Saccharomyces cerevisiae S288C: one gene and its partners. Changing the gene in region 3 together with the main gene of any one other region gives a genetic interaction. Each region holds a gene or a part of one and is shown on either strand. Other genes may lie near its edges.

Region 1 (4,593 bases), on a different chromosome or scaffold from region 3:
AAAACATTGAACAATGGCGACAGCTAATAAGAGATGAAATTTATTTAAGTATCTATAATACCAGTGGTAATGCAATAAAGGAATACGAGTTAAAGTACAAACTACCTACCAATGACAAAGTCAATTTGGAGTTACGGAAAAATAATATTACATTGGATTTTTATAAGATAATACTAAACTTATTGTCTAATCTAATTAATATTAAAGGTAAAAGGGACAAATATAACTCAGAGCTAGCTTACGAAATAATTTCAGTAGGTTCCGGTGTTACTGAACTCCTTAAGCTATGGAACCGAGCCAAAGTCACTTCGGCTAATGAACATACAAGCGCTGTTTGACAACAGATGACCAAGTTCGTTGCATCCCTCTTTATTTCGTTTTTTTAGTTTGATATTATAGTACTTGTATATATACATTTTTTCTTCTTTACGTCTAAAGATTTAGTTATACCCACTCCGCTTCCACTTGAGCTTTTTGGAATGTGTAGTCATTTCTATTGATGGTCACCACACCATCTTTCAGACTACATTTCCATCTCGCCTTTGTTCTTGTGACTTTATCATATAAGCACAGCATTAAGTTCTCATCTGGCCCATCCTCTTCACCCTCCGAAATTAGATAGTCATCGTCGGAATCATCTAGTTCTGAACCGACCTCATCCGTATCTAATAATGCACTTCTTTTTTCCTTCTTCGCTTGTAATTTTACTTGTTCTATCTGCTCCTTTTCCTTGCGGGTTTTTTCCACGTCCTCCTCCTTTTCCTCGTCGTCTTTCTTCTCACTTTCATCATCTATGTTTTCGACGGTAGTTATATTGGCATTATTAATAGTAAGTTCTATTTCCGGTTTTACTTCAATTTTAGGCTGGCTAGTTACGTCCGCATTTGTATTACCACTAGTATTTGTGTTCAAGGTAGCACCTGAATTATTAGTTGCTTCTACCGTATTCGTATTAATATTGGTCTCTCCAGAGTGCGGTATGTTGTTGTTGGAATTGATATTTGGCAAAATTAGACCTTCATTACCGGTATTCTCCTCCTTAATATTGAACTCGCTAGAATTTACGCCGGGGGTAGCAAGATTGAAATTTAAGTCGTTCTGTACACCATTGATATTTCCTTCATTGAACTGATTGTCCCATGAAAAAGTAGTTACCTTCGTCTCTGTGAGCTTTTTTTGCCAAATATTTTTTAGGTCTTGTAAAGTTTGTTCATCGATACCCGCATTTTCAAAGTCCTCTCTTACTTCATTTACCACAGACTCTACGATAATCTCGTACACTCTGCTGGCCTCTGCATTCGACATGATATCCAACGATGTCCCTTGTGTATGGCCTTGATTTGTGTGATACTATCGCTTTTCTTCTTTGAGCTTGCCCCCGATAATATGCCGTATGGCTTTATCCACCTTGTTATTTGGCTTCTTCATCTTTTCTTCAACTGTCTCACATCATACTTGACGAAGCTTTTTTTCGCGTTAATTTATATTCTTTATTTATTTATTTATAATTCAGAGTGTACGATGAGTTCCTCTTTAATGGTTCATTTGAAGGACACTAACTAAAAAGAGCATCATTGGTGTCAAGGGGCACCCAGTTAAAAAAGGTTTTGAGCACATATCGTAATTCATGAACGAAGTTCCTACCACTCCAGTTAGGCTTATTTTAGGGCAAGCTCAGCAACGCGAGCAGAATTCAGAAAACTGTTCGCAAGAACGTAACCCACGCACGTTTAATTCCGAACCGGATTCCAGCTTTAACTCTCCTGGTTCCTCCCAGTTCGTGATACATCCTCATGAACCGCTCGAGAAGGAGAAAGATGAGAAGCAGGATTTAGACCGCTCGATTGATTACGGTAGGTCATCAGCTCTTAACAACAAGAATAATGCCAATCCATTAGAGAATATAGACATAAATAAAATGTTTGATGACAAAAAATCAGATTCAGGTACCAATGATGATAAAGGAGGCGCAAGTACTAGTGATAAGCATGTCCTTGCATTGAATTATTCACCGATCAGAGTTGAAATGAACTCCTCAGAGAAACGAAGCGACAAAAACGTGGACGTAGATGAAAATGATAAAGAAGGTAGCCATATTAATAAAAAATTGAAATTGCAGTTAGAATCAGTACCTGATTTGAAACAAAGCTCTACTAAAGATATCATTAATGACAAAGAAGAAATTATGTCGTCTCCAATGGCGATTGATATGATTGAGACCAACATAAGCCCAAATAAATTCATAATAAACGACGGAGTTGAAAGAAACGATAGTTTCAATATCAATACCGACACACTTAAATTAGAAAATGATATAAATGAGAAACAACAAGAGGAAGACTTCATAAAATCTAACAGTAACAATGTGGTTAATATTGACAATGCTTATAAGGAAAAGGAGGACGAAGAAAATGATATAACAAATTCTCATATAAACAGGCTTACTCCTTTGTATGAGACTTCTGCAAGGGAGTCGAACTCAAATGAAGAGGGGAGGAATGACTACGATGATGACAACCAACTTGATATTAGACATGACAATTTTCAGATTGTAGCAAAAAGAAACGAGGAGCTCACTGATCAGATATATCACTTAAATCAAATGTTAAACTCTTTGATTTCCAAAAATGAATCATTGTCTTTTCAATACGAGAAATTGAACAAAAATCACCAACTACTAATAGATTTGACAAATGAAAAGTTAGATAAACTAAATACAGAAAGAGAGAGCGATATTGCCAAGGTGGAAAAATTCAAAAAGAGGATTAAGGAGTTGAATACAGAAATTAAGGTATTGAATTCCAACCAAAAAATATTACAAGAAAAATTCGATGCCTCAATTACTGAAGTAAATCATATAAAGGGCGAACATGAAAATACTGTCAACACTTTGCAGCAAAATGAGAAAATTTTAAATGATAAAAATGTAGAACTGGAAAATATGAAAGCAGAATTGAAAGGCAATAATGATAAATTATCCGAATATGAGACCACGTTAAATGACTTGAATTCTCGCATTGTGCAACTGAATGATAAGATTGAAAGCACAGATATTGTTTTGAAATCTAAAGAGAACGAACTAGATAATTTAAAATTGAGTTTGAAGGAAACTTTATCGATTTCTAAGGACTTCAACGACTCTGACCTTATAGGACAAATTAATGAGCTAATATCTACAAAAAACAACTTGCAACAAAAAATGGATGATTTGAATAACCTGAACGACGATAATTTGAAGGTAGTACAGGATAAATTAATTAAAAATGAGGAGACGCTAAAACTAAAAGAAGCTGAAATTGATTCATTGAATAGTGAAATGGACGAGCTAAAAAAACAGATCACTTCAAAAGATGATGAATTTAAGATGTGGCAAAGTAAATACGAAACTGTCGAAGACGAAGCTAAGATACGCAATGCCGAAGTTACAGAGTTGAACGGAGATATTGAAGATCTAAAGGAATCAAAATTGCATTTGGAAGAAACAATTACGGAACTAGAAAACAAAGTTCATAAACTAGAAAATGAGTGTGAACTGGAGAAACAAAAATTCGAAAAAACTTCGCTAGAATTAGAAAGCTTACAACTAAAAAATAGTAACATTCAGGCTGAGCACATCAAAGAATTGGAAAATCTTCATGAAAACCTTATTTCTCTTCAAAATGAATTGAAGATTTCATCCGACAGGATAACAACATTAACAAAAGAAAATGAAGTATTAATGGAACAAAATAATAATAACAATAATAGCGTTACTTTAAGCAATGATCAAAAGGATAGAGATGATGAAAAAATTAAATCATTAGGAAAACAAGTACAAGATTGGAAAGAAAAGTATGAGGCCAAAGAAAAAGATACAAATAAAAGGCTAAAGTTATTAGCAGAAGATTTGTATATCCAGTATTCATCCAAACACGAACAAAAGGTCAAACTGTTGAAAAAAGGCTATGAAAACAAGTACCAAAATAAGTTTGATCAATTAAATTTAGAAAATAAAACTCTGTCAGAAGAAATCGAGCAATTGAACAAGCAGCTGTCTTCAGAAAGAGAAGAAAAGCAGGAGTTACTCAAGTTGTTAGAAAATGAAAAAAAATAAACGCATTTTTTTCTTTTGCATTTTATCTTTTCCCTTAATATGTCATGAGAATAAAATATTAAGGATATACCGTAAATATACAAATTCGTATCGAATATTTGATATTGTTTCCTAACTTTTCTGTGTTAAAAATAAATATGCAAAAACATACTAACCATAAAAATAAATAAAATACAAGATATAAATAAATAATCCAGCAAGCAAAGACATTGCGGTCCATGCCATAATTGTTTTCTTCCAACTATTAGATTTCAGTGTGCATTATTTCATGTTTCTTTTCTTCAAAACGTTCTCAATAAATGCTTCACCAGCCTTATATGACGATCTTACTAGGGGTCCAGATGCACAATACAAGAATCCCATCTCTAAAGCTCTCTCTTTCCAGTAGTCAAACTTTTCGGGTTTCACATATTCTACGACTTTCATATGTCTCTTGGTTGGCCTCATATATTGACCAAATGTAACAACATCACATTGAATATTGCGCAAATCCTTCAAAG
Region 2 (3,125 bases), on a different chromosome or scaffold from region 3:
TTGCTGATCGCTGCGGTTGAATACTTCAAGTATGGTACAAGAATTAACTATGAATGGTTCCATTGTACCCCAATCAAAGAACCCCAGTCTGGCTCAGTAATCAAGCTTTGGGCACGTGGTGGGCCAAGTTGTGACAAAAGAGGCGAATATAAAACTATAGTAAAGAGAATCACTAGAGATTATGAACCAAATGATGAACATCTCTCGTTCTGTATCATCGAGAATGATAATGTTCCACCCGTCCACTACCCAATTCACGAAGATAAAGGTGAACCTGGCTACGTAGCTTATGTCGGGTACGACACAGACTCTGAGCTGGTTCAAGAACTATGTGCTGATTCCACAATTTATCACATGTGAATTCTTTCTTTTACATACATAAACATAGAAGAAATCCAACCCTGATATAGGGATTTATAAATGCGTGTGCATATCTATATTTATACATATAAAGAGAAAAAAATTGCTCATGATAAAAGAAGTATCGCCTGCCCACTTTCCTAAATCCTCGAATTTTCCCTATATTTTGCGAACATTTTGCCTAATTCCTCTTGAATATTAACTTTGAAAACTTCTAAAGGATATAGTTTATCAAGGTCGATACCAGAGGTTGTTTTCCTATCTTCTCTGATTTTATCAATTGTTGGTATAAAGTCCATATATCGGGCCAAAAAGTGTTGCTCTTTCACCTCAGTAGGCTCAAATCTTTCGTCTACTGTTTTTATCAATCCAATAGAATCGCACCCCTTCGGTATTAATATCTCACTGCGTTTGACCATTTCAATATGATCTTTCATATCTCTATCTTCACAAAAATGCTTTAGAAGCTCTTGGTATTTAAGCCTTTGTGCTTCCTCTCGTTTCTCTTCGGTATGGTCTTCGCATATATAGAATAGTGAGCTATCATTAAAATAGCAAAACGATCTTAACGTTTGCAAAATGAAGTCAATATGTACTGACTGCCATACTGTAGTGTGTCTTTGTAAGTTTAATATTTCGCCACTGTTTAAGCACCATACAGAAAATTCATTATCGTCATTCAGTTGCTTAATTTTATTGAATGCGTAGGATAGTTCATTCAGCCACAACTTTTGGTCGTTCAGTGTCCAATCTAATAATATGAGCCAGCGAACCTTCGAACTATGTTCTTGTAAAAACGGCTTTAGAAGATCTAGTGCATCGTCAGTGTTTCTTATTAGCGTGTAAACATCGACAGAATAATTTTCCTTTAAGTCGTTGGTCCATCCTATGGTGGCGTAATTAATCAAAGTGGTATCCAGTATTGAATTGCTTCCCTCTGGAAAACAGATATTTATAAATTGATGCAGTGTTTTACTTGATGGGGAATATATGATTGCTGTTATCGTAGCAGTCTCTGTGCTGTTGATTGTGGATTCATTCTGAGACAATAATTTGTCCCAGGCATTACAATTATCCATTAATACATACAATTCTTTTATCTTCTTTTCTTTTTGTACAAGTTGCGGATTACTTCTCTTTGTTTACCTTTTTGCTTTTATTTTTTTTTTTAATACGTGCATATATATATATATATTTAGTTTAGGTCAGAATACAAAGATAATTATGTATAAATGGGCGCATTTGGAAACTATTTTACATACAACTGAACAAGTTCGGAACAATCTATCAATAATCTGCACAATTATATAATCCGATATCGACTTCAGCCTTCATATCTGATGAATTATTTGCGATCGATTCACGTTTTTCTTCCAATTCTTGAATATAACCGTCTTCAACACCAGTGACATAATTTCCGGTAAATACACCATCTTCGAATTTGGTTATTTTATCAGTTTTACAACAATCAATCAAATCTTCCAATGATTGGTAAATGACTCTTTCACAACCGATTACTTCCGCCACTTCTTCATCGGTTCTGTTATAAGCAATCAAGTTCTTTGTGTCTGTTAAGTCAATACCATAAATATGGTTGTAACGAATGGCTGGGGCAGCTGAAGCGAAGTAAACCTTTGTTGCACCGGATTCCTTGGCCATGTTAACAATCTCTTTTGAAGTAGTACCTCTGACAATAGAATCATCCACTATCAGAACCTTCTTACCCTTAAATTCAGACTCCATAGGGTTAAGCTTCCTCCTTACTGAAGAAACCCTTTCCCTCTGGTTTGGCATGATAAATGTCCTGCCCACGTATCTGTTTTTAACAAAGCCCTCTCTATAAGGCTTCCCTAACACATTAGCACATTCTAGTGCACATGTTCTTGCAGTATCTGGGACGGGAATAACAACATCAATATCTTCTGGCTTCAGTTGCTTTAGAATATTTTCCGCTAATTTAGAACCCATAGCCAATCTTGTGTGATAAACTGATATTCCATCCAAGACACTGTCCGGTCTGGCGAAATATACGTATTCAAATAAATCAGGTCTATAAGAGTTAATAGGAACCACTTGTTTGAACTCAGGTTCACCTTTGCTACAGTTCTTAGGGATGATAACTGCCTCGCCAGGCTTTAAGTCACGATATTTAGTAAAGTTGTGAGCTTTGAAAACAACACTTTCTGAAGCTAACATATAGTCCTTAGTGCCGTCCGGATTTTCTCTTTCACCGAACAATAATGGCCTAATACCATTTGGATCTCTGAAACCAAATAATGCAAAACCGGCAAGTAAACCAACGCAAGCATAACCGCCACGGCATAAACGGTAAACACCTTCTAACGCGTGGAAAACATCTTCATTGTTAACTCTGTACTTGTTATGTTTTTCCAGTTCAGCAGCAAAAATATTCAATAGTAACTCCGAATCACTGTCCGTGTTAATATGTCTATGAACGTCTTCATCCATATATCTCTTCAATGATGCAGTATTCACCAAGTTACCGTTATGTGCCAAGTTAATACCGTAAGGACTATTGACGTAAAATGGTTGCGCTTCTGAATTAGCCGAAGACCCGGCTGTAGGATATCTCAAGTGGGCAATACCCATGGAACCAGCAAGACCGGAAACACGTTGTTGGGTAAATACGTCACGAGCCATACCATTACCTTTACATTGGTAGATTCTACCACGAGAACCACAGGTAGCTATACCAGCTGCATCTTGTCCACGATGTTGTAGAAAAATGCATCCATCACATAACT
Region 3 (6,209 bases):
ATTGTTTTGATGATACGGTTGATGACTTTGGTTGTGGAAATGATTGCGAAGAGTAGTAATTGTTTAAAGAGGGCATCCTTGATATAAATCTGTACAAGTTTTGTCTTTCCAAGCAACCAGGTATAGCGGAAAGAGAATTCATCACAGTGGAATGTAGTGACAGTGTTGACCTCGACGACACAATGCTTGAAAGACGTAGCATGTTTATTGGAGAAAGCTCTTGAAAATCTGATCCGTCCAAGATTACATTCCTAGACATTGTAGTTTGTTGATGATGATGCTCTCTTTTACCAGGGATGGTACTGGTGCTCTCGCCGCGATTGGTGAACCAGTTCTGTGACGTGTTGAAGATCAAAGAAGGAAGAACATCCTTGAACACTACATGCATGGACTCTTTTAGCCTTCTCTCAATGGTGCTTTGGAGAATTTTTACAGAACAATCAAACTTAAAATCCAAATCAACGTCATTAAAGGATATCCCAATTCCAGGGTTCTTTACAAAAATATTCGTGATGGCTTCTAGCTCGATGGAACTGAACGTCATAGTTATAGGAATTGTGAACGATCCATTATTGATGAGCTGGGGCATGGTAAAGCTGGGTGTATCCTGTTCGTTAATCAATAAAAGATTCGACTCTATGACTGTCTGTATCCGCAACATAGCATCCTTACATGAAATCTTGCAAATCCCCTTGGCCAGAGACTTGGGCTGCGTGATAATGTCTAGGTCCAGAATTTCTAGCTGTGGTATTGTAGGAAAATCCACCTTCTGTACCTTAATTCCGCTTTTCAAGATATCTAATTTCTTTTTAGACGGTGAGTTCAAAGCCGTAGATAACTTTTCCCGTATTCGTTCATTGAAAGAGTTATCACCAAACACAGCTTCGTTGAATCTAAATGACATGACGATGCTGAAGTTTCTTGCAGTTGTGTTTTTTTTGTTATAATTGTTACTGTTTCTATGTTTTACGAATCTTCCATGACTCTTCTAATTGGTCTCTTTTTACTACAAGGCTTCATGGCCCTTTTTCAAACCTAATTTATAAGTTCTTTGCCCTATGCTTAAAACAGTTTAGCCCTATTTAATATAGTACAAAAAAGGAAAAACCTAATTGAAAAAAGCTATTCACCCTAGGTCATTACTACTTTTTCCCTTAGCTAGCCGTGTTTTTAGTTTTTGTTTTGTTTATTTTACCTGTATTATGCCTTGTTTGATGACTTTAGTATGGGTTTGGTTTGTCTTATCCTTGGATACAAAAGGACCAGATACATTCACGTCTGGTCGGTAGAACATCGGTATCCAGTATAGTGTTCAGCTGTTCCTATAGAGACAAAATTTATAATCTGCGTGTAACAAATATCTGCAGGTTAAAAAAGTCCAGATCAGTGTTTCGAAGCTGTTGATTTTTCTTTTTTTTTTTTTATATTAAAATTTTCATATTCCCTGATTGCATCGTTTATCTGATTATCATTTCATTGCATTCTTTAACTACTTGAGTTTTCTTTCCAGCTGTATACTATTGACACTAACATGAACGTGCCTGAAACAAGACAATCCTCCATAGTCGTAGCTATAAGAGTAAGGCCCTTTACGTCAATGGAAAAAACAAGATTGGTCAATGAAGCTAGTGGTGCAGAAGCTAACTTTCCCGGTTTGGGGGATTCGTCGTTAATATTACCCATGAGTAATAACTCCGACTCCGATATAGACATAGACGCTGAAGAAGGTTCTACGCGGAGCAAAAGAAATAGCTTGCTGAGGAGAAAAGTAATTAGACCGGAGGGTATACGTAAAATTGTGGATTGTGTGGATGATAGAATGCTCATATTCGACCCAGCTGATAGAAACCCATTGAACAAAGTGAGTGATCAGGTCCTGAACTCGATGCGTGCAAGGGCCACTAAGGCCACTGCGTCCTCTATCAATAACAGCAATGCTACGAACAAATTTTCTTCGCAACGTCGAAGGCACGGTGGCGAAATCAAGTTTGTATTTGATAAATTGTTTGATGAAACCTCTTCCCAAGCCCGTGTATACAAAGAGACCACCAGCCCGCTCCTAGATTCTGTTTTAGATGGATTCAACAGTACCGTATTTGCTTACGGTGCTACTGGTTGTGGCAAGACATATACTGTGAGTGGCACACCTTCACAGCCGGGGATCATATTTCTAGCCATGGAGGAACTATTCAATAAAATTACAGACCTGAAGGACGAAAAAGACTTCGAGATTTCACTGTCTTACTTGGAAATATACAATGAAAGAATCAGAGACCTTTTGAAACCAGAGACACCATCTAAAAGATTGGTCATTAGAGAAGATACGCAGAACCACATCAAAGTGGCGAATTTGTCGTATCACCACCCAAATACGGTAGAAGATGTGATGGACTTAGTTGTCCAGGGAAACATAAACAGGACTACGTCACCGACGGAAGCAAACGAAGTATCTTCACGATCTCATGCAGTGCTGCAAATACACATCATGCAGACAAATAAGCTTGTAGACTTGACCTCGCAACATACATTTGCTACACTTTCAATAATCGATCTAGCTGGGAGCGAAAGAGCCGCCGCAACAAGAAACCGTGGTATAAGATTACACGAAGGTGCGAATATAAATAGATCCCTACTAGCACTGGGCAATTGCATTAACGCGTTGTGCTTGAATGATGGCAGCAGAAGCTGTCATATTCCATACAGGGATTCCAAGTTAACTAGGCTGTTGAAATTTTCACTGGGTGGCAATTGCAAAACAGTCATGATTGTTTGCATATCGCCCAGCAGTTCACATTATGATGAGACATTGAATACTTTGAAATATGCAAATCGTGCTAAAGAAATAAAGACCAAAATAATCAGAAATCAGCAGTCTTTGAGTAGACACGTTGGATCTTATTTGAAAATGATTACGGAACAAAAGCGACAAATCGAAGAGTTACGCGAACGTGAAGAGAAGATGATTTCTTTGAAGCTAACGAAATACAAACTAAACAAAGAAAAGATCCAGTTAGCCATTAACGAGTGCGTCAATCGTGTTCAGCAAACGTATGCAGGAGTGGAAACGTATCAAGTAGCCAAGACCTTGAAATCATTAATACTTTGTAAAAGGCGGTTTTTGCAAATGGTCAAGCTAGAAGTGGATAATTTGATACTATTATTTGAACGGGAGGAAAGTACAGCCGCCGAGATGCAGCCGGTGATTAGTAATTGCCGAATGATCAGTGGTCAGCTTTATAACAAAATACACGAGTTAGAAATGAAATTTGATGAAACCGACACTCTGAGTTCCGTCATTCATCAGGTACATTCCATTGACTTGAACAAGTTAAGAGAGATGGAGGACTGGGATGAAACTTACGACCTGGTGTACTTGGAGTCGTGTTTAAATCAAATATCAGAATTACAAAGAAACGAAATCTTGGTTAATTCCTCCATAATGACAGAAAAATTAATGTCAGATCCGGGTTTGAACTCCCGATTTAAATTTCTATCAAAGTGGCTGATGAATAGGACACCTAACATTGAATCCATAATTCAAGACCTGGTTCATATCGACGAGGAGTTTGAATCTTTTGCCAGAACTTTTATCGCCAATCCCGATAGCAATTTTACAAACACAAATATAAATATAATAAACACGACGGCAGCTGACTTGGCTGTTCCCGCTGAGACCCTACAACGGCAAAATTTTTCCCAAAAAAAAGTAAAGTGGACGAGTCCCGACCTTAGTCCCAGCCCTATGATTGAACCACAACCGGAGCTAGAACCAGAACTACACCAAGATCAAGACGCCATTGCAAGTGAAGTGGACGTAAGTATGCAAGATACCACATTCAATGAGCAGGGGCCCTCGACCCCCTCCGCTCCGACTACAGCGGTTCCAAGAAGGAAGATGCGCTCCTCCCTTCTTACTCATCAAAGTCTACTGGCCACTGCCAGGAAATAACATACATATCCTACGTAAACTATCGAATATAACTTCTTTCCGCCAGCATTAAACGCATTTATGTTGATTAATTCCGGGTTACGGGAAAAATTTTTCTTTAATTTCTTTTTTTTGAATTTATTTGGCACGAGAAAAGGTTCAAAGTGAATAATTGCTTTTAGTCATTAGACACATTACCTACTTTCTAAGAGATTCTAAAAGAAACTAAGCACCACAAATCATTGATCTTTTAAGAAAAACGCACAAGGATCATATACTAGATTCTCGTTCTCGTTTTTTCTTCCTTTTTTTTTTCTCTAAAGCCTTTTACTGGGTTAATTTCCTTTATTGACCCAAATTAAAAGAAAACGTTTCTCAGGAGACTCTTTTAAGCAAAATTTAGCAAATTTGTGTTTGCTGTTGTTTTTACAGAGACTGCATTACTTGAAGGTTTGCCTTTAAGTCTTCGAGTCGTTTTTTTTTATTAACTTTAATCCTTTTTCTGTGTGTTTGTGTATATTCAGTGGGGTTATTTTACAGTATTCGAAGAGACTTCGTTTCACACATTTAAACCAGCTTTATTAGCGTTTAGCTTATACACTACAAGGAATTTTTTTTTTCTTTAACATTATTAAGACAGTTATTGAGTTAATTCGTCTTCAGCCCCCCTCCCCCCAACAAACCCCCCTTCATATAGAAATGGCTAATACTTTCAAGTATTATCCTGAAACGATGGGTAATTCTAGTGGTTATCCAATTAGTTTGCCTTTTCCGAAAGGTTCGGCTACTTCTGCTGTTAATGTTGCTAGGCAACTGCCTAAATATTTAGGTCATGTTCCCTCGCAATCAGTTCATACTCAGTTGCCATCCATGGCTTCTTTAGGTTACTTCAATCAGCCAAGTTCTACTTACTATGCTCCTCCTGCACCACTTCAACAGCACCAGCAACCACCTATCCTTCCCCCTCCGGGCCTAATGTACACTAGTAACAATAACAGCAACGTTATTCCTCCTCCTGTTCAAATGATTCGGGATGGACAACAACAACCACAACAATCTAACCAAGTAAATGGGGGCGTCAGTGAGAACTTGGACTACGATATTTCTATAATGTCAAAATTTATCATGGAAAATGCCTTTGTTGCCTTCAACGCGAACTATAGTACTGATGACCAGACCACTGATCTTTTTTTCAAGGGCATATCTTCTGTGTTGAATGCCACGAGATTGCCTTCAGCTACTATTTTTTTGGCTATAGATTATCTTTTCAAGTATATCAATAAATTATCTAATGGGATACATTCAATTGGTGGCAATTCGATCAATATCATTTATCAAAATACTATGATTGCGTTCATATTAGCAAACAAGTTCAACGATGACAAAACTTTCACCAATAACTCATGGTCACAGGCAACAGGAATACTGATAAATGTTATCAATGATTTCGAGAGACAATGGTTGAGAATATTTAACTGGGAATTGTATGATAGTGCTTTTCTTTATTTTGAGTTCGTCAAGAATTTTGAGATTTTCAAGCAAAATCAACTCAAACCTGCTGTAGCGGTTCCTACGTTATTATCTCCAATTGTCAACGTTGGTGATACGAGAAACGTAAATTTCAACTTGAAGCCTACTTCCACAAACAACCTATTATCTCCAGTTTCCAATTATGAAACCCCCATGCTGATGCCGCATAACATGTTTTCATCACCATCTTATCAGAGTAACTCAAGGTCTGAATTTTCTAGTATGAATGGTTATTATAACTATTACAACTATAATCAGCCAAGATTGAATTACTATCAACAATTCCCCAATATATATTCTTCACCAATTTCGGAAACTCAGTTTGATTACGACTTCTACAATTTCAGTAGTCAACAACAACAGCAACAACAAAAACAACACTCACTTTTACCTGCCGCTCCACAATTACCTCCCCCTCACGTCCATAATCAGTCTTACGGTCATCATCTTGGCTGGAAGTCAATGGATGACACAATAAATCATTCAAGATTTGAGCGAAACTACTTTCCGTATTCGGCAGTGTATTAGTGAAAACTTTTTTTTCCTTATTTTTTCTTTGATCCCATCGAATTACTTTCTCTTTTGCCCAGGATCATCTTTCTAATCTATCATTTTATTATTTTCTCTCATGAGAAAACAGAATTTCGAAACAGATATAATAAAAAAATTGAAAAATTTGAAAAAAAAAAATCTAGAAACATATTTTCCTAAAATGAAAATCGGAAGCTAACAAAATTTTTGAAAAACGAAA

Evidence for each region. Genes that interact genetically often act in the same process or in processes that back each other up.
Region 1: mutations in KIP3 (region 3) and SLK19 together harm fitness more than expected from each alone (negative genetic interaction), as found in Saccharomyces cerevisiae (4 studies listed by BioGRID, with this or other methods).
Region 2: mutations in KIP3 (region 3) and DYN3 together harm fitness more than expected from each alone (negative genetic interaction), as found in Saccharomyces cerevisiae (4 studies listed by BioGRID, with this or other methods).

What each region holds. Positions count from the first base shown.
Region 1 is NC_001147.6:711,239-715,831, forward strand, and holds SLK19 (Slk19p), read left to right. Parts: upstream 1-1,627; coding exon 1,628-4,093; downstream 4,094-4,593. Other genes in the region: PEX27 (Pex27p), read left to right, coding at 1-338; TOA1 (transcription initiation factor IIA large subunit), read right to left, coding at 445-1,305; LIP5 (lipoate synthase), read right to left, coding at 4,355-4,593. UniProt on the Saccharomyces cerevisiae protein: Has a role in spindle assembly and stability. Required to ensure a timely exit form mitosis. Essential to maintain pre-anaphase spindle polarity. Associates to the plus ends of the microtubules at the kinetochore and spindle midzone.
Region 2 is NC_001145.3:863,912-867,036, forward strand, and holds DYN3 (dynein light intermediate chain), read right to left. Parts: upstream 1,440-3,125; coding exon 501-1,439; downstream 1-500. Other genes in the region: sphingosine N-acyltransferase subunit LIP1, read left to right, coding at 1-360; ADE4 (amidophosphoribosyltransferase), read right to left, coding at 1,648-3,125. UniProt on the Saccharomyces cerevisiae protein: Component of the cytoplasmic dynein which acts as a motor for the intracellular retrograde motility of vesicles and organelles along microtubules. May play an important role in the proper orientation of the mitotic spindle into the budding daughter cell yeast.
Region 3 is NC_001139.9:83,354-89,562, forward strand, and holds KIP3 (tubulin-dependent ATPase KIP3), read left to right. Parts: upstream 1-1,531; coding exon 1,532-3,949; downstream 3,950-6,209. Other genes in the region: ERMES complex subunit MDM34, read right to left, coding at 1-904; CLG1 (Clg1p), read left to right, coding at 4,628-5,986.